Linked DNA regions of Anolis sagrei. The protein of the gene in region 3 binds, or shares a complex with, the protein of the main gene of each other region. Links are inferred from orthologs where the notes say so. Each region holds a gene or a part of one and is shown on either strand. Other genes may lie near its edges. The genes, in order: MYBL1, LIN54, TFDP1 and MYBL2.

What was found.
Region 1: TFDP1 (region 3) and MYBL1 share a complex: the UniProt entries of both Homo sapiens proteins name them as parts of the DREAM complex. The link is inferred for Anolis sagrei from reciprocal best matches to the Homo sapiens genes TFDP1 and MYBL1.
Region 2: TFDP1 (region 3) and LIN54 share a complex: the UniProt entries of both Homo sapiens proteins name them as parts of the DREAM complex. The link is inferred for Anolis sagrei from reciprocal best matches to the Homo sapiens genes TFDP1 and LIN54.
Region 4: TFDP1 (region 3) and MYBL2 share a complex: the UniProt entries of both Homo sapiens proteins name them as parts of the DREAM complex. The link is inferred for Anolis sagrei from reciprocal best matches to the Homo sapiens genes TFDP1 and MYBL2.

The regions. Positions count from the first base shown.
Region 1 is NC_090024.1:45,428,398-45,435,928, forward strand, and holds the start of MYBL1 (myb-related protein A), read left to right. Parts: upstream 1-4,273; 5' UTR 4,274-4,493; coding exon 4,494-4,529; intron 4,530-7,531. UniProt on the Homo sapiens protein: Transcription factor that specifically recognizes the sequence 5'-YAAC[GT]G-3'.
Region 2 is NC_090025.1:17,418,854-17,426,129, forward strand, and holds the start of LIN54 (protein lin-54 homolog), read right to left. Parts: upstream 3,268-7,276; 5' UTR 2,935-3,267; intron 1-2,934. Other genes in the region: COPS4 (COP9 signalosome complex subunit 4), read left to right, coding at 3,401-3,474, 6,818-6,897. UniProt on the Homo sapiens protein: Component of the DREAM complex, a multiprotein complex that can both act as a transcription activator or repressor depending on the context. In G0 phase, the complex binds to more than 800 promoters and is required for repression of E2F target genes.
Region 3 is NC_090023.1:108,401,185-108,409,419, reverse strand, and holds the start of TFDP1 (transcription factor Dp-1), read left to right. Parts: upstream 1-5,072; 5' UTR 5,073-5,218; intron 5,219-5,247; exon of another isoform or gene 5,248-5,390; intron 5,391-5,421; exon of another isoform or gene 5,422-5,475; intron 5,476-6,399; exon of another isoform or gene 6,400-6,495; intron 6,496-7,634; 5' UTR 7,635-7,708; coding exon 7,709-7,720; intron 7,721-8,235. UniProt on the Homo sapiens protein: Can stimulate E2F-dependent transcription.
Region 4 is NC_090024.1:212,223,297-212,231,675, forward strand, and holds the start of MYBL2 (myb-related protein B), read left to right. Parts: upstream 1-5,305; 5' UTR 5,306-5,530; coding exon 5,531-5,550; intron 5,551-7,619; coding exon 7,620-7,707; intron 7,708-8,379. UniProt on the Homo sapiens protein: Transcription factor involved in the regulation of cell survival, proliferation, and differentiation. Transactivates the expression of the CLU gene.

The DNA.
Region 1 (7,531 bases), on a different chromosome or scaffold from region 3:
TTGCTGCCTGAGGCAAAACAGCCACTCAACCAAGTCAAGATAAAAAGTACTTAACGCTGGCCTAATAATTTTGGCATAAAGCAAAATACTCTTCCAGTGCATCTCTTCACCTTCAGTTCTAAAAATACAACAATTTAAAAAATAATTTTCTACTTTTTCATGGCACTCCGGACCTGCATAAGACAGCTTCCTCACTGCTTAATTATGGGAGTAGTCTTGTTTTCTGTTTTAAGTCTGGTTTATGTCCAGCTGCTCAGGTGGGTTGGGTAATAGGTGCAGCTCCACACTGACTGTGGAACAGTCCCCTTAAAAAGGGAGTTATGACCTTTGTCATTCAAAATGTGTGAGAGGAGAAAGTGACCTATACAAATTTGCACTCTCGTTGTAAGCAACATTCTGGCTGATTTATTTGATGCATCACATATAAGCAATCTGTTTTGCTGTGGATCATAAGTCTATGCCACAAGAGATCAACTGAACCAAACATCTTCCCTGAAAGCTGTAAACAGAATGATATCCTGCTTGATTTAACTATCGATTCCAGATCAAATAGAAATGAATTCCTAGGTAGACACAAAAACTGGCTACAAATTCAAATCAGCTTTGGAGTTTTGTTATTTCCTCACTACACATTTGATTAGGATTTGCATAGGTTAACAATTTTTCCCCTTTCTATCTGCACGCTCCTTTCAGCTGACCATACTGGAAACTCCTTCATGCTATTTCTGGAACTGGTAACTCATGAGTCTGCGTTAAATGTTCAAAATAGAAATGATCATAATTCATCTGTTATAAGATCCATTAGGGACTGTATAACTCTTCCTTTGAAGGCTTCCATTTTAAATTTATGACGCATTATTCTTTGTGTAAAAGCAACAGAAGAGCAGGGACTCTACAGAACGCTTCCTCTTCTACGTACATTCAAAATATTTTGGGCCCTAAAATTTTCAGTTTTCAATGTTGAACTTACAACATAACAGAATTAAGTAAAGAGCTATCCAATAACCCCAATGCGTGCTGTGTTACAAAGTACATAATATTTTCTTATCTGTTATGAACAGACTGCAATGTGTCTCGCTGCCATTCCCTAGATTGAACACTGCGAAAGCCATCCACTGCATGGCTATCAGCCTCCTCCCAGTAGACTTAAATCAAGGAAAAGCTTCATGAGAACCACCACTCCTCTTAATCTTCCCGCAGCAACAACAAGAGTATCCCTCTGGAAGCTAAACCAAGAATGGGCAACTTTGAAGTCCCTGAACAGACTCCAAAGTAAAATGGGCAGATCAAAAGACAACCTGGCAAAATGGCACTACCTAAAAGAATCCTCCACCTTGTGTTATTGTGGAGCAGAACAAGCAACACTGCATCTGCATGCCTGTCCGCAGTGTCCTGCTTCATGCACAGAGGAAGAATTGTTTGAGGCTATAGACAATATGGTCGTTGTTGCCTGTTTTTGGTGAAAAGATATTTAGCTGCTTGTGCTCCTTCTGTTTTTATCAGTTTTATACTAATTTATGCAATGCTTTTGATACAAAATAAATCAATAAATAACCCACAATATCAAGGCAAATAATCCACAATATGGATTATCTGAGTCCATATTGCCATAGAATCTAGTTCATATTTAGCCACTTGTGCTCCCTCTATTTTTAGAAGTTTTAAACTAATTTATGCAATTTTTTTTGTCATGTCAGGAGCGATTTGAGAAACTGCAAGTCACTTCTGGTGTGAGAGACGTTGCCCAGGGGATGCCTGGATGATGTGATGTTTTTATCATCCTTGTGGGAGGCTTCTGTCATGTCCCCGTATGAGGAGCTGGAGCTGATAGAGGGAGCTCATCTGCCTCTCCCCGAATTCGAACCTGCAACCTGTCGGTCTTCAGTCCGGCCGGCACAGGGGTTTAACCCACTGCGCCACCGGGGGCTCATTTATGCAATGCTTTTGATACAGAATAAATAAATAAATACAATCTCCAGATGTGTCGGTAGCTTGGTTGTTGGAGCTGTGGAAATGAAATGTTAATAGCTCAGTCATGGCATTATCTTATTAACACTCTGTTTTGTGCTGAAAACCAACTTGAATGGTTCAGTATTGAGACAAACGCAGCATTGACCAAACACAAATCAAGGAACATGAAAGGCACTGCAGACTAATTCAACCAGAGAAGTCAGCCATAGCAGAGCACTCGGTGAACCAACCTGGACACAGCATATGTAAGAATACATATGGACTAGGACAATTTTAAATGGTGTATTTTAATATTTTGATGTTTTTAATGTTTATGTATTGCATGTGAATTTGTGTCCCGGCACTGAATGTTTGCCGTGTGTATGCTGTGCTCCGCCCTGAGTCCCCTTTGGGGTGAGAAGGCGGAATTTAAATGTTTTAAATAAAAAAAATAATACAGAAATGCTGGAACACTCTAACAACCACCATATCAGACTACACAGAGAATCCATTGAAATCCACAAGCATTTGGAGAATAGCAACAGAAAGGAGGAAAATATGAAAATGAACAAAATCTGGCTAACAGTATTTAAAAACTCTAAAATCAGGACAGTAAATAAAGAGCAACACTAAAAAAAAACCAGGGGATTTCCAGACAAGAATCAATCAGGGCCAGCTAACACCTCCCAACAAAGGATCCCCCTCAGGCAGCAACCAGCCAGGCTTTGAAGCTGCAACCTCACTTGCCTAGTTTCCAACAGACCTCACAACTTCTGAGGGTGCCTGCCATAGATGTGGGTGAAACGTCAGGAGAGAATGCTTCTGGAATATGGCCACACTGCCCGGAAAACTCACCCTCCCCAATGCCAGAAATACAGCTTAATGGTGTAACATTAGAAGATGTTGACTATTTCTGCTACCTTGGCAGCCACCTCTCCACAAAAGTCAACATTGACACTGAAATACAGCACCGCCTGAGCTCTGCGAGTGCAGCATTTTTCTGAATGAAGCAGAGAGTGTTTGAGGACCGGGACATCCATAGGGAGACCAAGGTGCTTGTTTATAAAGCTATTTTCCTCCTAATCCTGCTATACGCCTGCGAGACATGGACTGTCTACAGACGTCACATGCAACTCCTGGAACGATTCCATCAGAGTTGCCTCCGGAAAATCTGGCAAATCTCTTGGGTAGACAAGCGGACAAATGTCAGCGTGCTGGAAGAAGCAAAGACCACCAGCACTGAAGCGATGGTCCGGTCACGTTTTCCGGATGCCCAACCACCGTCTCCCAAAGCAGTTGCTCTACTCCAAACTCAAGAGCGGAAAACGGAATGTTGATTGAAAGATGGGCTCATTGTGAACCTTAAAAACTTTGGCATAGACACTGAGAACTGGGAAACCTGTGAGCGCTCCAGCTGGAGGTCAGCTGTGACCAGCAGTGCTGTAGAATTTGAAGAGGCACGAATAGAGGTCGAAGACAAGGGATCGCTTAAGTAAAGTAAGTTTAAAAACTATGCCCCAAATGCTGTTTTGAGAATATTAAACTGCATTTAAATATTTAATAAACGTGTGTTCACACTATTAATGTACACATTGAAGAAGAGTGTGTCTGTACTACTAGAATTTCCTACCCAGAATGATTTGGGCCTCTCTTAAGGTAATTGGTTCCATTGATTTAGCCCAGGGATGACAAACTTTGGATTTGTAGGAGTTTTGGACTTCAACTCCCACCATTCCTCACAGCCTCAGGCCCCCCCTTGAGGAAGGGGCCTGAGGCTGTGAGGAATGGTGGGAGTTGGAGTCCAAAACACCTGCAAGGCCCAGGTTTACCTATGCCAGCTTTAGAACAATTCACAGGGCAGCGAAAGTATAGGGCAAAAACACGAGCTCGCACACAGCGTCCCTTCGATAGCTCAGCTGGTAGAGCGGAGGACTGTAGAGGCATTGGCTGCTTGCGGGAATCCTTAGGTCGCTGGTTCGATTCCGGCTCGAAGGAGATTTGAATTTTTTTTTTGGTTGTTCATCCCCCGTCAAATATGGCAATTATTTCATTTTATCCTTAGGTGCAATTATGTTATTTTTCCTATTGGGTTTTGTCTCATTTCCCAAGAGTGAAGGGAGAAAACAAAAAAAGACTACATTTCCCAGCAGGCTTTGCGCCCTTTTCTCTGTCCCGAGCCCGCCGCCACTTTCTCCCCTTCTCCAATATCGCGCACCCTCCCCTCCTCCTCCTCCTCCCTCCCCTAGCCCCGCCCCCTCGGCTGGGTCGCGTGCTCTCGGAGGCAGCCAATGGGGAGGCAGTCCGCGTGCGCAGATTCAAACGGTGGCTCTGGAAAGAGGCTGGGCGCGAGATTCGGCGGCAGGGACGAAAAAGAGAGGCAGCAGCAGCAGCAGCAGCAAAGGAGAAGAGGCCGGAGGAGGAGGACCATGTCCCCCAGGCGAGGCCGGGGCTAAAAGCTGCCTTTCTCCCGCTCTCCTCCTCCCTCTGCCATTCCTTCAGTTCGGCCGGCGGTGACAGCCCCGCTTCCCTCCTCTTTCCGCCTTATGGTGCCCTCAAAGGATGGCGAAGAGGCCGCGAAGGTGAGCCACAACTACTCCTCTCCCCCTCAGGAGGGATTCTTTCTCCATCCTTCCTTCCATCCCTCCATCCACACGCTTTGAATGCCTTGGCTCGAGGGAGTGGTCGTTAGGCGGGACCTCAGCGCTCTTTGGCAGAGAAAGCTTTCAGAGGGCAGGCAGTCCCCGAGTTGCGAACAAGATGGGGTTCTACAGCAGTGGTTCTCAACCTTCCTAAGGCCGCGACCCCTTAATACAGTTCCTCATGTTGTGGTGACCCCCCCCCCCCATTATAAAAAAAATATTGTTGTCGCTACTTCAGAACTACTATTATGAATTGTAATGGGAATATCTGCCTATGAACCCACCAGGACTCTAAGATCTTCTGGGGAGGCCCTGCTCTCGATCCCGCCTGCATCGCAAGCACGGCTGGCGGGGGACGAGGGACAGGGCCTTCTCTGTGGTGGCCCCTCGGCTGTGGAACGCCCTTCCCATGGACATTAGATCAGCCCCTTCGTTAATCGTGTTTCGAAGAAAACTAAAAACCTGGCTGTTTGAACAGGCGTTCAGATAAATAGTGCAATTGAACGATGAATATAGGAACGGATTTATGACGAATTGGATCACGATTTTAGTTACGAGATGCTAATGTGTTGTTATTGATGTGTCATTATTTGTATACTAGGCTGTTAATGGTTTTTAAATATTGTATGTTGTACGATTGACTTTTTTGCTCTTGTTGTGAACCGCGTTGAGTCGCCTACGGGCTGAGAAACTGCGGTATACAAGCAAAGTAAGTAAGTAAATAAATAAATAAATATGCAGGATGTATTCTCATTCACTGGACCAAATTTGGCACAAATACTCAATATGCCTAAATTTGAATACTGGTGGGGTTGGGAAGGGGGATTGATTTTGTCATTTGGGAGTTGTAGTTGTTGGGATTTATAGTCCACTTACAATCAAAGAGCATTCTGGACTCCATCAACAATTGAATTGAACCAATTTTGGCACACAGCCCTCCAATGACCAACAGAAATATATTGGAAGAAACCTTGAGTTTGGGAGTTGTTGTTCACGTACATCAAGAGAGCACTGTGGACTCAAACAATGATAGATCTGGGCCAAACTTGGCATGAATACTCAATATGCCCAAATGTGAACACTAGTGGAGTTTGGGGAAAATAGGCCTTGACATTTGGGAGTTGTAGTTGCTGGGATTTATAGTTCACCTACAATCAAAGAGCATTCTGAACTCCACCAATGATAGAATTGGGCCAAACTTCCCACGCAGAACCCCCATGAACAACAGAAAGTACTGTGGTTTTTGATGGTCTTTGGGGACACCTCTGACACCCCTTTGTGACCCCCCCAGGGGTCCCGACCCCCAGGTTGAGAAACACTGTTATACAGGGTTGTTCTTAAGGTGAATTAGTATGTAAGTCGGAACAGGTACATTTTAAAGCAGGGGTCCTCAAACTTTTTAAACAGAGGGCCAGGTCATAGTCCCTCAAACTGTTGGAGGGCCGGATTATAATTTGAAAAAAATGAATGAATTCCTATAAACACCTCACACATCTTATTTGTAGTACAAAAAAACACTTTAAAACAATGCAATAATTAAAATGATGAACAATTTTAACAAATATAAACTTAAAAGACAAGTTCCACCTTGTTTCCTGTGCTATCCTAATAATATAATATAATATATTGTATATGCATATACTATTTATAATATTATAATGTAATCTATATATATAAAAATGCTCTGTGCATAATGAGTACCTTAAAAACAAAAGAACCAATGAACAAAATCACGCCAAATTTCGCAACAAAAAGTCTCACAGCACAAGGAATGACCATCACTCAAGAAATTATGATTTTGTCATTTGGGAGTTGTAGTTGCTGGGATTTATAGTCCACCTACAATCAAAGAGCATTCTGGACTCTATCAATAATGGAACTGAACCAAACTTGGCTCATAGAACTCCCATGACCAACAGAAAATACTGGAAGGGTTTGGTGGGTATTGACCTTGAGTTTGGGAGTTGTAGTTCACCTATATCCAGAGAGCACTGTGGACTTAAACAATGATGGATCTGGACCAAACTTGGAATGAATACTCAATATGCTCAAATGTGAACACTGGTGAATTTGGGAGAAAATAGACCTTGACATTTGCGAATTGTAGTTGCTGGGATTTATAGTTCACCTACAATCAAAGAGCATTCTGGACTCCACCAACAATGAAACTGAACCAGATTTGGCTCACAGAACTCTCATGACCAACAGAAAATACTGGAAGGGTTTGGTGGGCATTGAGAGTTGTAGTTCACGTACATCAGGAGAGCACTGTGGACCCAAACAGTGATGGATCTGGACCAAACTTGGCAGAAATACTCAATATGCCCAAAATGTGAACACTGGTGGAGTTTGGGGAAAATAGACTATAACATTTGGGAGTTGTAGTTGTTGGGATTTATAGTTCACCTATAATCAAAGAGCATTCTGAACTCCACCAACAATAGAATTGGGCCAAACTTCCCACACAGAACCTCCATGACCAACAGAAAATATTGTGCTTTCTGATAGTCCTTGACGACCCCTCTGACACCCCCTCGCGACCCCTCCAGGGGTCCCGATCCCAAGGTTGAGAAATGCTGTTCTACAGGGTTGTTCTTAAGGTGAATTAGTATGTAAGTCGGAACAGGTACATTTTAAAGTGTGACTCCCTTCAAATGTATGTGTGTGTGTGTATATTTATTTACGACATTTCTATGTCGTAAATCTATATGTCATCTATCTATCTATCTATCTATCTATCTATCTTATATAAATAAAAATGTAATAATAATAATAATAATAATAATAATAATAATAATAAACCTTTATTTATACCCTGAAGGACTCAGTGCGGCTTACAAGAGGCCGAGCCCAAATACATCAGTTAAAAACAGCAACAACAGCAATACAGACAGCAAATAAACTCATAAACAAAGCAATAAACAGTAACAATAACACCACGA
Region 2 (7,276 bases), on a different chromosome or scaffold from region 3:
GATGGCCATCCGTCCACTGTTTAAAAGCTTCCAAGGAAGGAGCTTCTACCACACTCCAAAGCAGTCAGTTCTTAGTACGTAGCATGTTTTGGAAATGTTAGAATTTCTCTAGAACATGGCCATATAGCCCGAAAAAAACTACAAGAACCCAGTAATTCCGGCCATGAAAGCCTTCGACAATACAAGGAAATGTTTCTGTTGGCATATTCTGGGACTGTATTCTTGAACAGTCATCTCATTCCGGGGAGGGCGCAGATGAGCTCCCTCTGTCAGCTCCAGCTCCCCATGTGGGGACATGAGAGAAGCCTCCCACAAGGATGGCAAAACATCAAAAACACCTGGGCATCCCCCTGGGAAACGTCCTTGCAGACGGCCAACTCTCTCACACCAGAAGTAACTTGCAGTTTCTCAAATTGCTCCTGATACAAAAAAATACACATCTGATTCTTGCCAAATACTTGGGGGGGGGGGCTTCTTATATTATTTCTAATGGTAACCTTTAGTGCTGATTTGTAAAACTTCCCTTTATAGCAGAGCCTTTGTTTTGGTTTCACCAGTTGCTTAATGCTATTTCTGGCTCTGTCAAAACACACAACACCCATGATCAACAATCAAGGAGCAAATATGCTAACATCCAGTTCACTATGGAAAAAGGAAGGAAGACTGCCTTTTCTAGATGTCCTAGTCATCCGTAAACCAGATCAACAATTGGATCACACAGTTTACAGAAAACCCACACACAGAGATAGATATCTACATAAAAACTCCAACCATCACCCAAGTCAAAAAAGAAGCACCATTAAAGCCTTGACAGACAGTGCAAAAAGAATCTGTGAACCCCACCTCCTCCAAGATGAACTGAACCACCTCAACTGGGCTCTCCAGGCCAATGGATACTCCACCTCAGACATCAGGAGAGCTTCAAGACCAAGAACAAGCCACGAGAGTACGGTAAAGATGAAGATCCACCCAGAGGAAAAGTGTTCCTGCCATACATCAAGGGAACCACTGACCGCATAGGGAAGCTGATGAGAAAACACAACATACAAACTATCTACAAACCCACCAAGAAAATCAAACAAATGCTACGTTCAGCAAAGGACAAGAGGGATCCTCTCACCTCTGCAGGAGTCTACCATATACCATGCAGCTGTGGACAAGTCTACATAGGGACCACCAAACGCAGCGCCCAAACACGAATCAAGGAACACGAAAGGCACTGCAGACTACTCCAACCAGAGAAGTCAGCCATAGCAGAGCACCTGATGAACCAACCTGGATACAGCATATTATTTGAGAACACAAAAATGCTCGACCACTCTCACAACCACCATGTCAGACTACACAGAGAAGCCATTGAAATCCACAAACATGTGGACAATTTCAACAGAAAGGAAGAAACCATGAAAATGAACAAAATCTGGCTACCAGTATTAAAAAATTCTAAAATTGCAACAGCAAAACAGCAGGGAGAAAAACAGGCAGGGACATCTAATCACCTTTCAAGAAGAGTTTGCTCCAGGCACTGTCAGCCCATTGTATGCTAATCAAGGTGGTCAGTGGAAAGATTCACACCCAGCCCAACTTACAAAAGCCCCTTTGTCTCACCCTGGCCATTCCACAGATATATAAACCCCTTTTTTCCCATTTCCAGTAGACCTCACCTCTGAGGATGCTTGCCATAGATGCAGGCGAAACATCAGGAGAAATGCCTCTAGAACATGGCCATATAGCCCGAAAAAACCCACAAGAACTGAGTGATTCCAGCCATGAAAGCCTTCGACAATACATTAAATATGCTATTTGTTTGTATTGGCATCGTATCGGTGCCCAATGTAAGGCATTGAATTTTGCCATTATTTATGTGTAAACTGCTTCGAGTCCCCCCAAGGGTGAGAAAGGCGGTACATAAATACTGGAAATAAATAAATAATTAATAAATAATAAATTTCTGTCCCTGGGTTTTTTTTTGGTTGTTGTTGTGTCAGGAGCGACTTCAGAGACTGCAAGTTGCTTCTGGTGTGAGAGAATTGGCCGTCTGCAAGGACGTTGCCCAGGGGATGCCCAGATGATTTGATGTTTTTATCATCCTTGTGGGAGGCTTCTCTCATGTCCCTGCATAGGGAGCTGGAGCTGACAGAGGGAGCTCACCCTCATTTTCCCCGATTTGAACCTCTGACCTGTTGGTCTTCAGTCCTGCTGGCACAAGGGTTTAACCCACTGTGCCACGGGGGGGGGGGGGGGGTTAAAATCCTCAATTCACGTTTATGTGGCACCAATGCTATGGGAAGTGGAAGTAGCACGGAGAAATCAATAGAATGAGTACAGATAAAGAGGTTATCTCATATTACACTAGGTAACAAAATTTGGAAAAAAAAATCTGTCGGTCTTCAGTCCTGCCGGCACAGGGGTTTAACAGGGCTCTGTCCCGGTCAAAACTCATAACACCCACAATCAACAATCAAGGAGTGATTAACAAGTTTTGGAGCTATCAACAAGCATGTGTCCTATTTAAATGCCAAAATGAATGTATGGTTTCAGTTGATGTGTCAGATATGCTCCTGCAAAAACAACAGATTGTCCACAGGGAAAAATTACACGGTGTGCAGTATGGATTAGGCCTGGGCCAACTTGGGCCCTTCCTCCTTCCAGGTGTTTTGGACTCCAACTCCCACAATTCCTAACAGCCGGCAGTGTAAATACACAAGGCCTGGGCCAACTTGGGCCCTCCCTCCAGGTGTTTTGGACTCCAACTCCCACAATTCCTAACAGCCTACCGGCTGTTAGGAATTGTGGGAGTTGAAACACCTGGAGGGAGGGCCCAAGTTGGCCCAGGCCTTGTGTATTTCCCTACTGTTAGGAATTGTGGGAGTTGGAGTCCAAAACACCTGGAGGGAGGGAGGGCCCAAGTTGGCCCAGGCCTGGTGTATTTACCCTGTCCCGTAATGCAGTTGATATGAGGCACCTGTCACTCCAGGGCGCGTTTCCCGTCAGGCTTCTCCTCCGAGCACCAGGCCTTCCTTCGCCCTCAGGCTGCCGTTAAACCCTCGCGGCCAGAAGCGCAGCCCTCTCTCCCCCGCCTCCGCTCTCTCCTCCTCCTCCTCCTCTCCCTTCTCTCCTTCTCCCGGTTCCGTGTTTGTTCAAAATCACGCGCCCAGCGCCATTCCGCCGCATCCCATAATAGCTCGGCAGCGCCGCCGTCTTGGCAACGGCTTCGGCGTCATCACTCTTCTCCCGCCTTCTCCAAAAACACAGCCACTTCCGGGTTGAAAGCGTCACTGTGCGTGCGTGCGTGTACGCGCGCGCGCTCGAGAATGACGCAGAGTCCGCCCTCATTGGTTTCTGAGGCGACGGAGGGGGCGTGGTTATTTTTCCCTCACCGGAAGTGTAGAAAAGAAAAATGGCGGCGGCGGTGAGGCAGGAGTTGACGCAGCTCATGAGCTCCAGCGGCTCCCACAAGGATTTAGCCGGGAAGTAAGCGACGGCTTCTTGGTTTTCGATGAGGGAAGGCGGAGCGGGGCAGGAGAAGCTCGCAAAAAGGGAAGGGAAGGCATTGTATTGTCGAAGGCTTTCATGGCCGGAATCACTGGGTTGTTGTAGGTTTTTTCGGGCTATATGGCCATGGTCTAGAGGCATTCTCTCCTGATGTTTCGCCTGCATCTATGGCAAGCATCCTCAGAGGTAGTGAGGTCTGTTGGAACTAGGAAAAAGGGGTTTATATATCTGTGGAATGACCAGGGTGGGACAAAGGACTCTTGTCTGTTGCAGCTAGGTGTGAATGTTTCAGCTGACTACCTTGATTGGCATTTGATGGCCTGGAAGTGCCTGGAGCAATCTTTTGTTGAGAGGTGATTAGATGTCCCTGATTGTTTTCCTTCTGCTGTTTTGCTGTTTTAATTTTAGAGTTTTTAATTTGCTTGCCACAGATGCAGGCAAAACGTCAGGAAATAATGCCTCTAGAACATGGCCATATAGCCCCCAAAAAAACCTACAACAACTGAGTGATTCCAGCCATCCTCAGAGGTAGTGAGGTCAGACTACACAGAGAAGCCACTGAAATCCACAAGCATGTGGACAATTTCAACAAAAAGGAGGAAACCATGAAAATGAACAAAATCTGGCTCCCGGTACTAAAAAAAAACTCTAAAATTACAACGGCTAAACAACAGAGAGGAAACAAACAAGGACATCTAATCACCTCTCAACAAAAGATTGTCCCAGGCACTGTCAGGCCATGAAATGCTAATCAAGGTAGTCAGTTGAAACATTCACATTTAGCTCCCGCAGACAAGAGTTCTTTGTCCCACCCTGGTCATTCCACAGATATATAAACCCTTTTTCCTTGTTCCAACAGACCTCACTATCTCTGAGGATGCTTGCCATAGATGCAGGCGAAACGTCAGGAGAGAATGCCTCTAGACCATCGCCATATAGCCCGAAAAACCTACAACAACCCAGGGAAGGCATTGATTCAGTGGTTTAAACACGGCCTGGCCCGTCCCTTGCCCATCTTCACTGTAGAATGAATAATAATAATCTATATAAATAAAAATGTAATGTTCGTTTGTGCTATCCATAGAACTCACAAACCACTGGGGCAACTGGCACCAAATTTGGACACGATACACCTAACAACCCAATTTATGTCCTTCATTCAAAAAATTGATTTTGTCATTTGGGAGTTGTAGTTGCTGGGACTTGTAGTTCACCTACAATCAAAGTACATTCCGAACCCCGTCAACGATGGAATTGAACCAAACTTGGCACGCAGTTCTCCCATGACCAACAGAAAATACTGGAAGGGTTTGGTGGGCAGTGTCCTTTGGTTTTGGAGTTGTAGTTCACCTACATCCAAAGATCACTGTGGACTCAAACAATGATGGATCTGGACCAAACTCTACAAGAATACTCAATATGCCGAAATGTGAACACTGGTGGAGTTTGGGGGAAATAGAATCTTGACACTTGGGAGTTGTAGTTGCTGGGATTTATAGTTCACCTACAATCAAGGAGCGTTCTGAACCCCACCAATGATAGAATTGGGCCAAAGTTCCCACACAGAACCTCCATGATCACAGAAATTACTGTGTTTTCTGATAGTCTTTGGCAACCCCTCTGACACAGCTTCGCAACCCCCCCAGGGGTCCTGACCCCCAGGTTGAGAAACACTGCTCTAGAACATGGCCATATAGCCCGAAAAAACCCAAACCCTGTAAAAGTTAGACAGTCATACACACATCTCAACATGTGTGTGTGCAATCTCACTGAGACCCCCTCCAAAAAAAATACTGCTTTATTGGGTCCCTTTTCATCTTCCAGGTTCTCTAATTCACTATGGATTCATCACATTTTGTCAACATCCTACCTCCACTTAGCCAAGCAAACATTTTCCTTCTCTTCTATTAATTATTTTTACATCCCCAGCTGTTAATGCCCTTTGCATGTGGTGTTATCGTTTCCCCTTCTCCTTGCTCTTGAACCTATTATCCTTGAGAGTTTTATGTACAGCAAACCATCTTTCAAAACAATTTCTCCCACTGCAACCAAAAGGCTTTCTCTAAGACAATTACTAAGTTGAACGTGTTTATAAATTGAGCAAAATCTTGCTTTTCAGTGTCCTTCAATTATTCCAATTATTCTTCAATTATTATTAAAATCCCAGCTACATTCCCTACCCTGAAGGAGGTTGCATCTCTACTCATCAGGATCAGTATGTGTCACCTTCTCAAATGCCACCGCTTGCCCTTTATTAAACCTATGGTACTAAACATAGTATTCCCAACATAGTATTCCCATGAGGCATCACCATCTGATCTGTGGAGACTTTCTAGGAAATAAACAGGTGCAGTCAGTGGACACAAATATGGTGTCACCTATAGCACTTTGCTGTTGTTCCTCCGCATCAGATCCTACTTACTTACTTAGGTTATCCCTCATTGTCCGAGTATTTTGGCCTTTCAATTGTAGTGTCTTGGTGGTGGATACATATAATAATAATAATAATAATAATAATAATAATAAACTTTATTTCTACCCCGCTACCATCTCCCCGATGGGGACTCGGAGCGGCTTACATGGGGGCAAGCCTGGACAACATAATACAGCAATAAAATCAAAACATATACAATGGACAGCAACAACATTATCAAAATGATATTAAAATAATAATGTTAACCCCTCAGCTGAACAGTTGTTAGGATGTAATCTCCATCTCAGATGGAATTTACTGGTTGATTTACCCTGTTTAATGATTAAATTATTGATACATTTGTACTCCTGCCTTGTCTATACAGTGAGCAGTAGGAAATAGGAGTAAGATACTGGTTTTCAAAGTGTTAAAAATAACTATTTTCTTTCCAGCAAGTCATGTTTTTAACACTCCTGAAAATCAACAATCAAGATATTCAAATAGCACAGTGAGAAATAAGGTGACAGTTTTGTGGTTATGGCCTTTGCGTTTTGAATGTGACAGGAAGTATGTGTGACATCCAAAATATAGACATGGTGGCCACAGCACTGTCACTTTCTTTTCCTCATAAACAGTTTCACCATTTTTGCTTGATAAAGAGTTCTGTCAAGCTTTGAAAGCAAGTGGAATGTACTTTGTGCCTTTCCGTTGGCCTAGTAAAGGTATCAGCACAGAAGAGAGTTTTGTGCTTTGTTGTGTTTTTTTTTAAGGACAAATTCCTTAAACCTAAGTTATGTTTTGACTGTTTACATTGACTACTACTCTCATTCCACCCAAATGTAAAACTCATTCTGAAAATAAGCCAGTATTGTTAATTGTGACTGATTTATTTTTGACATTTTCTGGCAGATATCGGCAGATATTGGAAAAAGCAATTCAGCTCTCTGGAGTCGAACAGTTAGAGGCATTAAAAGCCTTCGTAGAAGCAAGTGAGTTTCAACATTGTTTTTCAGATGTTGTTAAATGCCAGAGTTATAAATGCCGAACTGCAGGACTTGCATTTGTGTTTGTGTGTAGGTAAACAGTTTTTCATTTGCCTGTTTTTGTGTCATGGAATTGCTAATGATGCTTACTCTTGTTAATCCAGGAGTACTTGGACCACATGAGACAAATGAGTTGAAAATTTGACAATGTACCACTGTTGGTGTAATATACAAAAGCTCATTTCATTTAGTTTGGCTGTCTGAAAATTAAGTTTGCAATCAACAAAATATAATTTAGTCTTGATAACAGCATGATTATGGTCCAAATGACAAGCCTGATTTAAAGGTATGTTTTTTTAAAAATTTCTCATTGTGTCCCTTATTT
Region 3 (8,235 bases):
TCTTCTTCAGGCTAAACATGCCCAGTTCCCTAAGCCACTCCTCATAGGGCTTGTTCTCCAGACCCTTGATCATTTTAGTCGCCCTCCTCTGGACACATTCCAGCTTGTCAATATCTCTCTTGAATTGTGGTGCCCAGAATTGGACACAATATTCCAGATGTGGTCTAACCAAAGCAGAATAGAGGAGTAGCATTACTTCCTTAGATCTAGATACTATCCTCCTATTGGTGCAGGCCAAAATCCCATTGGCTTTTTTTGCCGCCACATCACATTGTTGGCTCATGTTTAACTTGTTGTCCATGAAGACTCCAAGATCTTTTTCACACGTACTGCTCTCGAGCCAGGCGTCACCCATTCTGTATCTTTGCATTTCATTTTTTCTGCCAAAGTGGAGTATCTTGCATTTGTCACTGTTGAACTTCATTTTTTTAGTTTTGGCCCATCTCTCTAATCTGTCAAGATCGTTTTGAATCCTGCTCCTGTCCTCTGGACTATTGGCCATCCCTCCCAATTTGGTGTCGTCTGCAAACTTGATGATCCTGCCTTCTAACCCTTCATCTAAGTCATTAATAAAGATGTTGAACAGGACCGGGCCCAGGACGGAACCCTGGGGCACTCCGCTCATCACTTCTTTCCAAGATGAAGAGGAAGCATTAGTGAGCACTCTGCGTTCGTCCACTTAACCAATTACAGATCCACCTCACCGTAGTTTTGCCTAGCCCACATTGGACTAGTTTCCTTGCCAGAAGGTCATGGGGGACCTTGTCGAAGGCCTTACTGAAATCCAGGTACGCTACATCCACGGCATTCCCCGCATCTACCCAGCTTGTAACTCTATCGAAGAAAGAGATCAGATTAGTCTGGCATGACTTGTTTTTGATAAATCCATGTTGACTATTAGCGATGACTGCATTTGTTTCTAAGTGTTTGCAGACCGCTTCCTTAACAATCTTTTCCAGAATCTTGCCCGGTATCGACGTGAGGCTGACCGGACGGTAGTTGTTTGGGTCATCCTTTTTTCCCTTCTTGAAGATTGGGACCACATTGGCCCTCCACCAATCTGCTGGAACTTCTCCCATTCTCCAAGAACTCTCAAAGATGGTTGTCAATGGTTCCGAAATGACTTCTGCTAGTTCCTTCAATACTCTGGGGTGTAGTTGATCTGGCCCTGGGGACTTGAACTCATTAAGAGTGGCCAGGTATTTCTGGACGACTTCTTTCCCAATTTGGGGTTGGATGTCCTCCAATCCCTCATCCACTCCATCTTGCTGAGGTTGAAGACTCTCTTTTTGTGAGAAGACCGCGGCAAAGAAGGTATTAAATAGTTCTGCCTTTTCCCTATCCCCTGTCAGCATTGCCCCATCTTCTCCTCGAAGAGGTCCTATCACCTCCTTGTTTTTCCTTTTTATTGTTTTTAATGTCCCTGGCAAGTCTGAGCTCGTTTTTTGCTTTAGCCTTGCGGACCTTTTCCCTACAGGTGTTGGCTATTTGTTTGAATTCTTCTTTGGTGATTTCTCCCTTTTTCCACTTCTTGTGCATGTCTCTTTTGTGTCTTAGCACAGTTAGAAGTTCTTTGGACATCTATTCTGGCTTCTTTGCACTTGTCCTATTTTTTCTCTTTGTTGGCACGGTTTGCAATTGCGCCTTGAGTATTTCACTCTTGAGAAATTCCCATCCATCCGTAACTCCCTTGTCTTTTAGTATCTGTGTCCACGGAATGCTGCTCAGCGTTTCCTTCATTTTTTGGAAATCAGCTCTCCTAAAGTCCAAAATGCGGGTTTGACTTGTCTTAGTTTCGGCCTTCCTTTGTACCTCAAATTGCAGGAGCACATGGTCACTTGCCCCTAAGGATCCTACCACTTCGACCGCATCGATCAGGTCCTCCGCATTTGTTAGGATGAGATCAAGAGTAGCCAATCCCCTTGTTGCCTCTTCTACCTTCTGGACCATGAAATTGTCTGCAAGGCAAGCGAGGAATTTGTTGGACCTTGTACTCTTGGCTGAGTTTGTTTTCCAGCAAATATCGGGATAGTTGAAATCGCCCATGGCTACTACATCTCTTCTCTGTGCCTGTTTGGTCAACTGTTGGCAGAAGACTTCATCAAGTTCTTCCTCCTGGCTTGGGGGTCTGTAGTAGACGCCTACAACGACATCTTTTTGAGTCCCAGTTCCCTTGATTCTTATCCAGATGATTTCAAGCTGGTTTCCCAGATTGCTGTCTTGAATCTTCTGCAGCATAAGAGTTTTTGACATATAAGGCTACTCCGCCTCCTCTCCCCTTCATTCGGTTTCTGTGAAAGAGGTTAAACCCCTCGATATCTACATTCCAGCTATAGGAGTCATCCCACCAGGTTTCAGTGATCCCTATGATATCATATTTGTGGTGTTGTGCTAAACGTTGGAGTTTGTCTTGTTTATTTCCCATGCTCTGTGCATTAGTGTAAAGACATGTGAGCCCCTGAGATCTTCCCTTGAGCTGTTTAATTGGGATTATTGTGCTTTTGGTACTTGGTCCTTGTTGTGTTTGTGCAGCCCTCCGTTTAGCCTTCTGGCGATTCCCAGACATTATGGGTAAAGTAGTGTTCGCAAGTGGCTTCTGGTGTGAGCCCCCGGTGGCACAGTGGGTTAAACCCCTGTGCCGGCAGAACTGAAGATAGCAGGTTTGAATCCGGGGAGAGGCGGATGAGCTCCCTCTATCAGCTCCAGCTCCTCATGCGGGGACATGAGGGAAGCCTCCCACAAGGATGATAAAACATCAAATCATCCGGGCGTCCCCTGGGCAACGTCCTTGCAGACGGCCAATTCTCTCACACCAGAAGCGATAAGCCAAGGTGACCATGTTGGGATTCATACATTGGGTACATGAGAAGACATGACTCAGTAGAAAAGATAATCATGCTTGGTAAGGTAAAAGGCAGCAGGAAAAAAGGAAGACTGCGTTACAGGTGGACAGATTCAATGAAGATGTTTATGTAAGATTTGAGTAGGGCCCTTGATGGTCAGAGATGTGGATGTGTCCCATTTATGAAGCTGCCATAACTCAAACTTGACTTGATGGCAGTTAACAAGAAATGATTTAAGGGTTTGCATTATTTTCAACTTCTAATACGGTAAGTAAAGTTATATGCCTGCTTAAACAAATGAATTAATAAAACAATATATTTAAGCCGATTAAGAATTAAAGCAGGTGAACCTTTCCAACATTCAACCAAACTGTAGAGGTTTGTTATTCAAGTAGAAGGGTAAGAATGTTATTTTAGGTACCAAGGAATCCAAAAGCATTGATCCCCTGCATGACATCATAGCCTACCAGTTATGCTTGCAATAGCCTCTTTAATGGCTTTATTGGATTTAAATATGCTTTTTAATAGTTCTTTATTTTAATGTTTATGTGCTTTTGGCATTAGTCTGCATTTTGTTTGTTATTTTTTTAGTGTTTGCTGCTTTGAGTTTCCTTGGAGGGAAAAAAGCAGGACTTAAATACTTATTATTTTTATTGAGGTTGCCTGGCCCTAGGTGCCTGTTTTTTTCCATGTACTAAATATTGATTCCTGCATAGCATGCTTTTTTTTTTTTCAAATTACAGCCCTGCCCCCACATCTGCAGGTACTTTATTTGCAGATTTGATTTAAACCTCGCTAGGATTTTCTAGGTCAGGCATGGGCAAACTTTGGCCCTCCAGGTGTTTTGGACGTCAACTCCCACAATTCCTAACAGCCTACCGGCTGGGTTGCCATGAGTTTTCTGGGCTGTATATGGCCATGTTCCAGAAGCATTCTCTGCTGCATCTATAGCAGGCATCCTCAGAGGTTGTGAGATCTGTTGGGAACTATGCAAGTGAGGTTTATATATCTGTGGAACGTCTAGAGTGGGGAAAAAACTCTTGTCTGCTTGAGGCAGGTGTGAATGTTGCAATTGGCCACTTTGATTAGCACCGAAAGTCCTTGCAGCTTCAAAGCCCGGCTGGTTGCTGCCTGGGGGAATCCTTTGTTGGCAGGTGTTAGCTGGCCCTGATTGATTGTGCCGGCTATTAGGAATTGTGGGAGTTGGAAGTCCAAAACACCTGGAGGGGTGAAGTTTGCCATGCCTGTTCTAGGTCCTCCAGTTCGAGTTTATGATCATCATTCGCAAGACATCTGGCCATACAGCCACGTGGGAAGACCGTGGGTGCATACACACTGTAGTATTAATGCGGTTTGACACCACTTTTAATTGCTATGCCCCAATGCCATGGAAACATGGTGATGGGGCATGCACTTTGCATGTTCTGCGACTTACAGTCCTATATAGCGTTTATAAAATCTTATAAACTACATCTCCTTCAATGGGAGCGGTAGTTTCACAAGGTCTTCTGGCTTCAGAGAAGGCTGAGGAGACATGAGAATATGAGAGGAAGTCATAGGGAGGAGAAATATGTCCAGAGGGCGACTAAAATGGTCAAGGGTCTGGAGAACAAGCCCTATGAGGAGCGGCTTAAGGAGCTGGGCATGTTTAGCCTGAAGAGAAGGCTGAGAGGAGACATGATAGCCATGTATAAATATGTGAGAGGAAGCCACAGGGAGGAGGGAGCAAGCTTGTTTTCTGCTTCCCTGGAGACTAGGACGCGGAACAATGGCTTCAAACTACAAGAAAGGAGATTCCATCTGGACATGAAGAATTTCCTGACTGTGAGAGCTGTTCATCAGTGGAACTCTCTGCCCCGGAGTGTGGAGGCTCCTTCTTTGGAGGCTTTTAAGCAGAGGCTGGATGGCCGTCTGTCGGGGCTGCTTTGAATGCGATTCTCCTGCTTCTTAGCAGGGGATTGGACTGGATGCCCCACGAGGTCTCTTCCAACTTCAGTATTCTATGATTCCCTGGTTCAAAGAGCGCCGGCGCCTCGCCAAAACTCCAGCTCCCCGGATGACAGGCCTTGAGTCTCGCGAGGGCGGCGCGCGGCGCGAGGCCCCACTGCCACCCTCGAGAGCCAGCTGGCTCTCGCGCTCTTTCTTGGCCTTCCCGCGCGCGCACTTCCCCGGGAGAAAGGGAGGCGTGGTGGAATCCCGAAGGCGCGAAAACTTTGCGCATGCGCTTCCCCTCCCTCCTAAACGTATGGCGCTGAAGGGATGGAAGCAGAAGGAGAGAGGGAGGGAACTTTAATCTCCCCGCGTGTGGCTATGTGGGGCACGTTCCACTCCGTGACGTCAGCGCGCAGCGTCACGCCGGAGGGACGCACGAAAGTGTAAGTTTCAATTCTCCCCCCCCCTCTTTCTCCCGTCTTCCTGCCAACTGCCAAAAAAAAAAAAGGAAAGGCAGTAACGGCAGCGGGGTCGCGCGCAGGAAAAGGGGAGGGCGCGCGCGCTGCCCAGAAGCCCTCCCTTCATGGAGGAGGAGGAGGAGGGAGCGGGAAACAGGTGTGAAAACAGGGGGAGGGGGAGGAGGGAGGGGGCAGGGCGAAGAGAAGGAGGAGGAGGAAGAGGAGCCAAGGTGGTGCTGGTGGTGAGGAGGCGCTGGGCTTTGGCGGGGGATGATGGCGCTTGTGGGAAGAGGGAGGCCTGCCTCGCGTGTTTGTGGGGGTCCCTTCTCTGCCCCCCCCCCTCCCCACCAACTTCAGGAACTGTTATGAGGCAGCACTGTGCTTTGTATTATCATGGCTTGAATCACTGGGTTGCTGTAAGTTTTGTGGGCTGTATGGCCATGTTCCAGAAGCATTCTCTCCTGACGTTTCGCCTGCATCTATAGATGCAGGCGAAACGTCAGGAGAGAATGCTTCTGGAACATGGCCATACAGCCCAGAAAACCTACAGCAACCCAGCACTGTGCTTGTATCTCAGGGAACCAATGCAGACCTGGACAGCATGAAGGACCTGCCAATTTTGAGTGGAGGGACTGATTCCCTTGTAGCCCCATCCTCTCCCCCTGAATGAAGACTTGCAAGCTGTGGCAGGAGGCATATGCAAGGGAGTCCACACTTTGATCCAAGTCAACACTTTCACCCTCCCCCTAAATGCACCCCTTCCTTGGCTTTCCTTTCCTGACCACTTTTTGGAGTTCCTTCTGGGGAAAAAAACAGGCGCAAAAGATCAGGGTTACTTTTTTCTGTGTTTTTGAGATATATTTTTTCTCCTAATGGTTGGCCCGCCTTTTCTTATCAGGGCCAGTGCAATTGCTACGGTGGCAGAGGCCTCCCTCCTTGCCTGCCTGCCTGCCTGCCTGCCTGCCTGCCTGCCTTCCTTCCTTCCTTCCTTCCTTCCTTCCTTCCTTCCTTCCTTCCTTCCTTCCTTCCTTCCCTCTTCCTCCTAATTTCTCCCCCTCTTTGCCACTTTGTCTTGTGTGCAAATGGTGGTGTTGCTGCTGCTTCCCTGATCATCTTCCTCCCCACAGCCCGCCCCCCGAGGGGGTTTTGAGGAGGGCCGTGCATTGCACATGTGCAGTTGGCATCTCTGGCTCTCTCTCTCTCTCTTCCCCTGCGTTGGGGGATGGAGTTTGCTCTCGGATTCTCCTCTTCTGGTTCTTCAGGTACTCTTTTGGGAAAGAGGCAGAAGGGGGCAGCCAGGTGGGGGGAAAGCCTTTGAGGCAGGAAGAAAACAGCTTCCTCCTTCCCCTTTTCTCTCTTTCTTCTTCCCCCACCGCCTTGCCTTCCCTTCCCCCTTCCCTTCAGTGGGGGTGAGCTTGGTGCATGGGTGGCCCTCCTTCTCCCTGCCTGTCTGCCCCTCTCTCTCTTTCAGTTGTACTGCTGGGCTAGACTTCTAGGGCTCTCCCTCCCTCTCTTTCTGAGGCCCGGGGGGAGGCTGGCAGGGCTTGTTCTCTGAAGCACAGATGCTGCAGCCTGCCTGCCTTTTTGCACAGGGAACTGGGAGCACTAGCTTCCCTCCCTTTTCCCTTACGCCATATCATCGAAGGGACTGGACTGGGCCTTGCTTGCATGTTGGAGGTTGGGTTTTGTTTTGAGCTGGCAAAGAGTGCTGCTAAAGGGAGTTGGGCCCCTGAGGCCTAGCAACTAGGTTGTGAATGGTCAGGCACATAGCTTAGTCTTCCCCTCCTTGCCCACTTCAGGGCAGGCCAGGTCTGTTTGTGCATGAAGTATAATTGTGCTTCTCAAGGGGGTCTAATGCAGAGCTGGACATGACTTAGGCCTCCATCTACACTGCACATTTAATCCAATTTCAAATAGGTGTTGAAAAAAGTGATTACAGAAGAAATCCAGGAACTAGCTTGAGGCCTGGATGGTGAGGACACAAACCACAGAGCACTGATATGCATTGAGGGTTTGCTTTTGCATGCTTTTGTGTGAGTTTGAACTTCATTAAATGGTTAGTGTAGACGGGGCCTATGCTGCATCTGCACTAAGCTTCCTCTTGCCCACTTCAGCGTGGGACATGCGTGAGCCATAATGTAGAGCTGGACAGGTTTAATCTCCCTCACCACCCAAAAAGGAGGAAATCCTCTTCTGTCAGTTTGAGTTGTATTATGTTCTCAAAAGAAAGATGCAATATTCTTTTTTAAAAAAACAGAGCTTGTCAAAAATCTGAAGGTTTCAAGCTTTTACTTTAAGCCTGCACTTTGAACTCTTTGGCAGAAAAACCTAATTTTAATTATTTCAACTCTAAATTGATTTTCAGTATGCTAGCTTAATTTTTTTTCTTTTCTTCTTTCAGAATATAGAACTGCTTCTTCTGTTTATCCTGTGGCAACAACGCAAGTAAAGAATTGATTTCTTGGACTTGATAACATGGCAAAAGATGTAAGTATGTCTGTTTATAATGATCCTACAAACCCACATGTTAACACAAGGACTAACAAATAATAGGAATTCACTTTGATCCTATAGATGTGCATTGAATCAACAGTAAGTATTCAATAAAGTAGTTGTAGCCTTGAATCTTGCAGTGACATCTCCAGGGTTTAATAATACGGGTCTGTTCTGTGCTACACAACTAGTCATAGGTGTCAAAGAGATTCCTAGAACATATGGCAGTACTACTCTTACCTTGACTAAAATTACTTTATTATATCATGTATAACAGGTTGTAATCTCTACTAGCGCAACATCTCTGGGAATATATTGCTGTGTATTAGTAGTGGTATTAATTGACATTATTTGGCAGTGGTGGCATTATTTCACATAACAGCATCAATTCGTGCTGTACTGGGTTAAAATGAAGCAGCAGCAGAATGGCACAGCTCGCAATATCTTCCTTTTAGTTAAAATTTATTCTGAAGTGAGGTCTGGAGCCATTTTGTCTACCAAAATCCGTT
Region 4 (8,379 bases), on a different chromosome or scaffold from region 3:
ATCCCACAATATCTGCTTTGAACTAGATTAATTGAGTCCACACTGCCTTATATTCCAATTCAAAGCAGATATTGTGGGGTGTTCTTCCTTGATATTCTGGGATATAGGACTGTGTGGAAGAGCCCCCAGTGCAAAGCAGATATTGTGGTTGATTCTAGGTTATATGGCTGTGTGGAAGGGCCCTAAGACTCATTCCATTTTAGAGGTGTTTATATAGGAAAAGCCCCAGCGTCTGGTAACCTAGAAATTTGCAAATATGAGTAGATCAATAGGTACCGCTTTGGCGGGAAGGTAACAGTGCTCCATGCAGTCATGCCAGCCACATGACCTTGGAGGCATCTACAGACAACACTGGCTCTTCAGCTCAGAAATGGAGATGAGCACCATCACTCTGAGTTGGACACCACTAGACTTAATGTCAAGGGGAGGCCTTTACCTTTACAATATAGGAAAAGAAATATGTCTGGGGGCCCTTCCACACAGCCCTATATCTCAGACTATCAAGTTAGAAAATCCCACAATATCTGATTTGAACTGGTTTATCTGAGTCCACACTGCCATAAATTCCAGTTCAAAGCAGAAAATGTGGGACTTTATTCAGCTGTGTGGAAGTAGCCTTAGAAGGAAGAAATACAGAAATATTTCTTAGTTTATGAAGCACAACAGTGCCATCTAAAGGCACAGGCTATGAATACCAAATTCTGACAAACTATGGCATTGTTCTGACTTGTCTTCCTATGACACCTGTCTTCTTGTACAGAATATTGGATGAATGGCACATTGGCTGCTGGAATGTACCAATTCTGTACTCGGTACCAAAACATATTAATGCAATTTTTAAACTCTCCTATTCTGTTTTAAACTTCTAGAAATTACAGCATTACTACTTTATGTTTATATCAGAGACTGGGAAAGGCATATTTATTTGGAATGAACAAATGAGTTCATTTAAATCGCAAAACATTTCTGTAATGGAGCAAAGTGGGTTCTTCATTGGCGAGTTCCTGAATATGCTTCTATGCAGGGCTTTGAAAGGTTACTTTTTAGAGTACAACTGAGCTGCAATACAAAAAAGTAGCTTTCCCAAGCCCTTATTGTCTGTATTGGAATACTGTGATGTTGTCCCCGTCCCCCCCCCCCCCCGAAGCAAAATACTGTTCATGATATGTGTGGTTTCTTGCTTATAGATAAATATTCCCTTTATGTATGTAAAGTTAAGTTGATTACCATTTGAGGAAGAATATCTACTTTACCTGGAGGTGTAAACTTTTCTTTGGATGTCAGGAAGTCACCTAACAAGTTATCTTCTACAGGAATGCATGGCTTTGATGGGATTAACTGCAATATTTCAACAGTCCTGTTGCACTTTAGAGAGGACTGGAATGTCTTATTCAACATAATATTTTACAGACTCCTCAACCCATCTGGTTGTATCTATTAAACCTGCCAGAAACTTATGATAAATAAAATGTGTTATTCTCCCAAGTGTTACAAGATTCCTTGTTGGCCCCTTCCAAACCCCACATTTTCTGCTTTGAACTGGAATATATGGCAGTTTGGACTCAGATAACCCCGTTCAAAGCAGATATTGTGGGATTTTCTGCCTTGATATTCTGGGCTATATGGCTGTGTGGAATGGCCATATAGAATATTGAAGTAAAGAATTACAATTAAATCACATGTGGCACTGGGAACAAATTTATTCTCTCTTTCCCTTTGAGCTAGAGAAGGTGACGTTTTAAATTGGCAGACTGTTATGCAGGAGAATGGGTGGGGAAGAGTTGCCACCGTGGCCAAAGGAAATTCAAATGCAAAAGGCATGTTGATGTCATCTTAACAGTAGTATTGTTGATTGACAGGAGGTTGATTAACACATACAGCAATAAGCCCTTTGTTACAGTTTGAGTCACAGGAGAACTTCCTGATGAATTCTTATTCAGCTGTGTCAATTTTCCTCTGTTCGTCGTATTCAAGAATGATCACCATGTGTTTGATGTAATGATGGTTTGCTGGGATTAATACATGTTCATACAGCAAATTGAGATTCTTATCACTACACTGTGATAATGTCATGGGATTAATGGTGGAATAATTGTGTGTGTATGTGTAATGTCAAAAGCAAATTGAGAATACAGTTATAATTCACAAAAAACCACAAAGTTAAAAACTTGGCATTATACTAAATTTCTTTTGAACAGAAGCTGGCCACTTGCAGTGCCTCTAGTGTCACTGTAAGAGGGTCGTCCATTGTGTAGGGCTGTTTTCCACCCTTGCATTTCATGGATTCCACTTTGAAGCCCCATTTCTTAAGATTGGCTCTGCGTCTTGTGGTGCCAGAGCGCAGTCTGTTCAGATTGAGGGTCCAGGTTTTAACTTGCCACTTTTGGACTCTTGCTTGCTGAGGTGTTCCTGCAAATATCTCTGTAGATCTTAGGAGGCTATTTCTTGATTTAGGGCATTGGCTTGCTGGTTGATATCCGAACAGAAGACACATTTGAGCATCCCCTGAGCAATATCTTGGTAGATGGTCAATTCTCTCACGCCAGAAGCAACTTGCAGTATGCAATTATTATTATTACACCACTGTAAATGCCATAGCAACATTGTTTGCATTTTGTAATTAGTGAGGCCCAAAAATTCTCTGACAAAGAATTCTCTCTAGGTTCCATACAGTGTTGAAAAGCAAAGAAAAATGGGTTCCCTTGGAATTAAAAAGGTCAGTATCCACTAATTGCAGTGATGCAAATGTATCTAAACACACAGAAGCTCAATGTATACATGCAAATACAAATGTCAGTAAAACATAGGATTGTTGCATTCACATTTAACAATAAATAATTTGTTCTTTTCTCGAAAAATTAAAAAATTCTTCTTCATGTGTGGAAATAGTACTTGACTCTTTACTACAGACGAGTAAACTCCAAATCCTTGCACAGTAAAGATGCTTGCCACAGATGCAGGTGAAATGTCAGGAGAGAATGCTTCTAGAACATGGCCATACAGCCCAAAAAACTTACAACAACCCAAATGTCCTATTTTCTTTATTACATAACATTCAACCGGTTTTGACTCACAGGAGTCTTCATCAGATAGTTGGGTCCTTAAACAATGCACGTTATTAATACACACAGCGTCATTTAAGGTAAAGTGACTTTTGAATAATGTATATTAAGATAAGACTTGTGTGGCAAAAGTTTGTTAATTGAATGGATGTATCAATGGAAAACTTAATATTACTATTTCAGATGTCAGATATTTGGCTATTTCTTCTCTCCCCCCCCCCCCCCTTCCCAAGATGGGTTTGTAAACCCGGTGTAACAATACAAGAGGGCATTGCCAGGAAATGAAGGTACATCCTATGCAGAAGATGCATTGTTGTATAAAAGAATCATCATATTGTGGATGATATTAAGTCCAGCAATAGTGTTGGTTCCGGGAGATACTGGACATAGTAGAGTCATGGTGGCTAAAGTGGACTCTACCAACGAAGATCTGCTTTTTGTATTGTTTCCTTGGGGGCATCTGCACGGTAGAATTAATGCAGTTTGGTATCACTTTAACTGGAGCCCCCGGTAGCACAGTGCGTTAAACCACTGAGCTGCTAAACTTGTTGACCGAAAGGTCGCAGGTTTGAATCTGGGGAGTGGGGTGAGCTCCCACTGTCAGCCCCAGCTTCTGCCAACCTAGCAATTTGAAAACATCCAAATGTGAGTAGATCAATAGGAACCGATCCAGTGGGAAGGTAACAGCGCTCCATGCAATCATGCTGGCCATGACCTTGGAGGTGTCTACAGACAATGCCGGCTCTTTGGCTTAGAAAAAGCACCAACCCCCAGAGCCGGACACGACTGGACTTAATATGAGGAGAAACCTTTACCTTTTTACTAGGTTGACAGAAGCTGGGGCTAACAGCGGGAGCTCACCCATCTCTGGATTTGAACCACCGCCTTCCAATCAGCAATTTCTGCAGCTTAGTGGTTTAACCCACTGCACCATTACGGCCCCTCGAAAGAACAATACACTATTTAAAATAATGAATAATTTTAACCAACATAAACTTGCCAGTATTTCAATGGGAAGTGTAGGCCTGCCTTTGGCTGATGAGACTCACGTTAATGAGGATTGTTGTTGTGAGCAAGTCATTTCAGACTTTATTGTTGTATTTTGTGGTACAGCAGGTTAAACTGCTGAGCTGCTCAACTTGCTGACTGAAAGGTTGGCGGATTGAATCCTAGGAGCGGGGTGCGCTCCTGCTGTTAGGCCCAGCTTCTGCCAACCTAGCAGTTCAAAAACATGCAAATGTTATTAGATCAATAGGTACCCCTTTGGATGTTTTTATGTTGAATGTTCTTATATTGAATGTTTTTATGTTGAATGTTTTTATATTGTATATAAGCTATTTTGCCCTATTTTGCCCTTGCCGACCAAGGGCAAGATGGATGGACAGCATCCTTGAAGTGACTGGACTGACCTTGAAGGACCTGGGGGTGGTGACGGCCGACAGGGAGCTCTGGCGTGGGCTGGGCCATGAGGTCACGAAGAGTCGGAGGCGACTGAACGAATGAACAACAAATAAGCTATTTTAAATTATAAGTCACTTGGAGCATTTTGGTGGAAAGCGACTAATTAAGAAATAAAGTGATGATGATGATGATTTGGTGGGAAGGTTAACAGCGCTCTATGCAGTCATGCCGGCCACATGACCTTAGAGGTGTCTACGGTCAATGCCGGCTCTTCAGCTTAGAAATGGAGATGAGCACCAAACCCCAGAGTCAGACACGACTGGCCTAAATGTCAGGGGGAAACCTTTTCCTTTATCTCTTACCACTTTAACTGCCATAGCTCAATTCCATGACATTCTGAAAGATGCAGTTTTACAAGGTCTGCCAGTTGCTGGTGCCACACCAAGCTACAAATCCCAGGATTCCACAGCATTGAGCCAAGGTCGTTAAAGAGGTATCAAACTGCATCAATTCTACAGTGTAGATGAACTCTATGTGGGAGTTTTTTTAAAAAAAGAAGGAATGAAAGAAGTTAGTTAATTAAAAATTTACAAAAGAGGAACCCACAGTGCTCATCTGATTATATTGATCGCTACTAGCTTGGGATGATGCACAGCTGGAAGGATCTGCTGACTTGAGCCTCTTAAACCAGAAGCTTCCCAACTTTGCCCGCGCGCGCCACTTTGGCCCCGCTTCTTTCCACCCCAGGTCCAATAGATTTTCGTTTCTCGTCCGCCGCGCGCACGGGACGTCACCACGCCGGAAGAAAGTGGTTGGCTGGCTGGCAGCCGGGGGCGGGGTTGGCGCGAGATAGGAAAAAATTGCTGCTCTGGAGACCCGGGCGGGCGCGAGCCATCCGCGCGCGCTAATCCTGGGCTCCCCTTTCCTTCCTTGCAATGGTGGCCAGCACTGTTGCTCTTGCTGCTGCTGCTGCTATAACCTCATCCACCTCTTCTTCTTCTTTGGGATCGTTATTTTAATTTATATTCTTGCCTAATTGTTTTTTTTTAAATCTAGAACAGAACAGGATGTCCCGCAAGGTTGGCTGGTGAGTTTTGCATTGGGGTTAAAATGATATTGCCTTAAATACTATAAATTTGATTAAGAGGGAAATAAGTGTGTGTGTGTGTGTGGGGGGGGGGGGTATTTCCTGGCCATTTCCCCAAAAGGTAATTTCTCTCATAGCAAAGAGAGATGTATCCCCCACAATAGTGGAAGTGATCCTATGGTTTCCATGGATGACTTAATTTGAAAGCGAGGTTGCTCTATTTTATTTTAATTTGGGTGCAATATTTTAAGGGGTGCTCCAGATGGCCCGCGTGAATTTCCAAGGCGGGAGAGGAACTCAATTCTCTTTGCGCCAAAAAAGGAAGGGGAAAGGAAGGTCCTCCCTGATCGATTTATTTTAAAGGGCTTGGGTTTTTATCTAGATCGATTTGGTAACTATTATTTCAGTGTGAAATCTTTAGATTACTTAAGCCCCTTCCATACAGCCCTATATCCCAGAATATCAAGGCAGAAAATCCCACAATACCTGCTTTGAACTGGGTTATCTGTGTCCACACTCAGATAATGTGGGATTTTCTGCCTTGATATTCTGGGATTTAGGCCCCTTCCACACAGCTGAATAAAATCCCACATTTTCTGCTTTAAACTGGAATATATGGCAGTGTGGACTCAGATAACCCAGTTTAAAGCAGATACTGTGGGATATTTTTTGCCTTGATATTCTGGGCTATATGGCTATATGGAAGGGCTCTTTCTCTTCCCTTCCCCCAGCACACCTGAATGGAGGAAATGGCAATGCATTTCCAATCACTGAAAAGGAAGTATGCATTTACATTGTAAAATTAATGTACTTTAACTCTTAGTTGCCATGCTGTAGAACCACAGAATTTGTAGTTTGCTGGAGCACCAGCTCTCTTTGTCAGAGAAGGCTAAAAACCTGGTAAAACTACAACTCACATGGTTTCATAGCATTGAACCATGGCAGTTAAAGCAGTATCAGACTGCATCAAATTTAGTATAAATGCACCCCGTGTCTTGTAACAAATACAAACTTCAGATTCCTTGGAGGTCATGAGAAAGTTATTGAAAGAAAGCAATTAAAAGAATCCACGAGCATGTGGACAATTGCAACGGGAAGGAGGAAACTATGAAAATGAACAAAATATGGCTACCATTCTTTCAAAAACTCTAAAATCAGGTCAGTAAATAAAGAGGATTGCAAGAAACAGGAGAATTCCTGTCATGAAACAATCATGACTAGATAACACCTCCCAACAAAGGATTCCCCCAGGCAGCAATCGCCCAGGCTTTGAAGCTGCAAAGTCATTTAAATGCTAATCAAGGTGGCCAATTTCAACATTCACACTTGCCTCCAACAGACAAGAGTTCTTTCTTCCTCCCTGGACATTCCTTCTTTACTTAGGCAATCTCTCGGGGGCCAAGGATGATGGTCCTCCAAGTCTGGTGGGTTCGTAGGTGGCTGTTCTGCATGTTCTCTCCCAGTGAGGACATTGGTTTCCAGGTGGAAGGACGTTTCTTAGCACGTTTCTCCCTTTTGCCCTCCATTTGTGCCTCTTCGAATTCCACAGCACTGCTGGTCACAGAAGGGTTGGCTTGCGGATCATCCAGTTGATTCAGTGGGTCTGTTAATTTGATTTATCTATATGGGCCTAAATCCAATTAACAGACCCACATAGTCAACTGGATGATCTGTAAGCCAATCCTTCTGCAAATCCTTCTAATTCATTATGTCTACTGTGGTTGAGAGTAACATTAGGAAGCACACTTTTCAACAAAATCACTGCTGTTTGCATGGATGGATGCAACTAGCAATATTTTAATAGGTGGGTTGCTGTGAGTTTTCCGGGCTGTATGGCCATGTTCAAGAAGCATTCTCTTCTGATGTTTCACCCACATCCATGGCAGGCATCCTCAGAGGTCATGAGGTCTGTTGGAAGCTAGGCAATTGGAATGTCCAGGCTCTTGAGCACTCTAGCTGGAGGTCAACTAAACCTTTTGCTGAATGAGAAAAGCTTAAATTCTCAACTGATGAACAAGGTAATTCAATATTGTGTTAACAAAGTGTCTCTTCCTTTCTTTTAAAACTAGTGAAGAGCAAGATGAATTGCACAGTCAAGACTCAGATGCTCAGGAACGGCGGGACAACAGGTGCAAAGTCAAATGGTCACGCGAAGAGGTATTGTCCTGTGGGGATTTTGGGGGTTAAGGTATGGAGTGGGATGGGAAACACTCTGGCGACATTCATCAAGAGCTATTATGAGAAGTCCTGACTTGAAAAGCTGGGGCATTTATGGTCCTTCAGAAGTCTCATCTGCCTTGGGCCCCTTCCACACTGCTCCTATATCCCAGGATCAGATCCTGGGATATATAACATTGTAGAAGGGGGCCAGGCCCGTAGCCAGGATTTCGTTTCGGGGGGGGCTGAATTTTTTTTCAGGGGGGGTTTCGGGGGGAGGCTGAGTTTCGGGGGGGGCTGAGTCTGAGTGAAAGAGGGGCTAGCCTAGCAAACCTTTTGTATCGTTACCCCAATACCCCCATGCATATGGGATATATTGAGTATGGTGATCAGATCATGATATGAATAAACATAACAGTTTAAATAATGCACCATTAAGGCTTTTTCGCGAACCACCATGAAAATTTCGGGGGGGGGGGGGGGGCTGAAGCCCCCCGAGCCCCCCCCCCCTGGCTACATGCCTGAAGGGGGCTTAGCAATTGCAGCCAGTATTTTACTTCTGGCAGGAAGGGCACTGTCAAATTTCAATAAATAAAATAGGAATCCTATGGATATCTCCCTTGTCCAGCTATTCAAAGATGCTGCCGTATTGGTCTAGAACAGTGGTTCTCA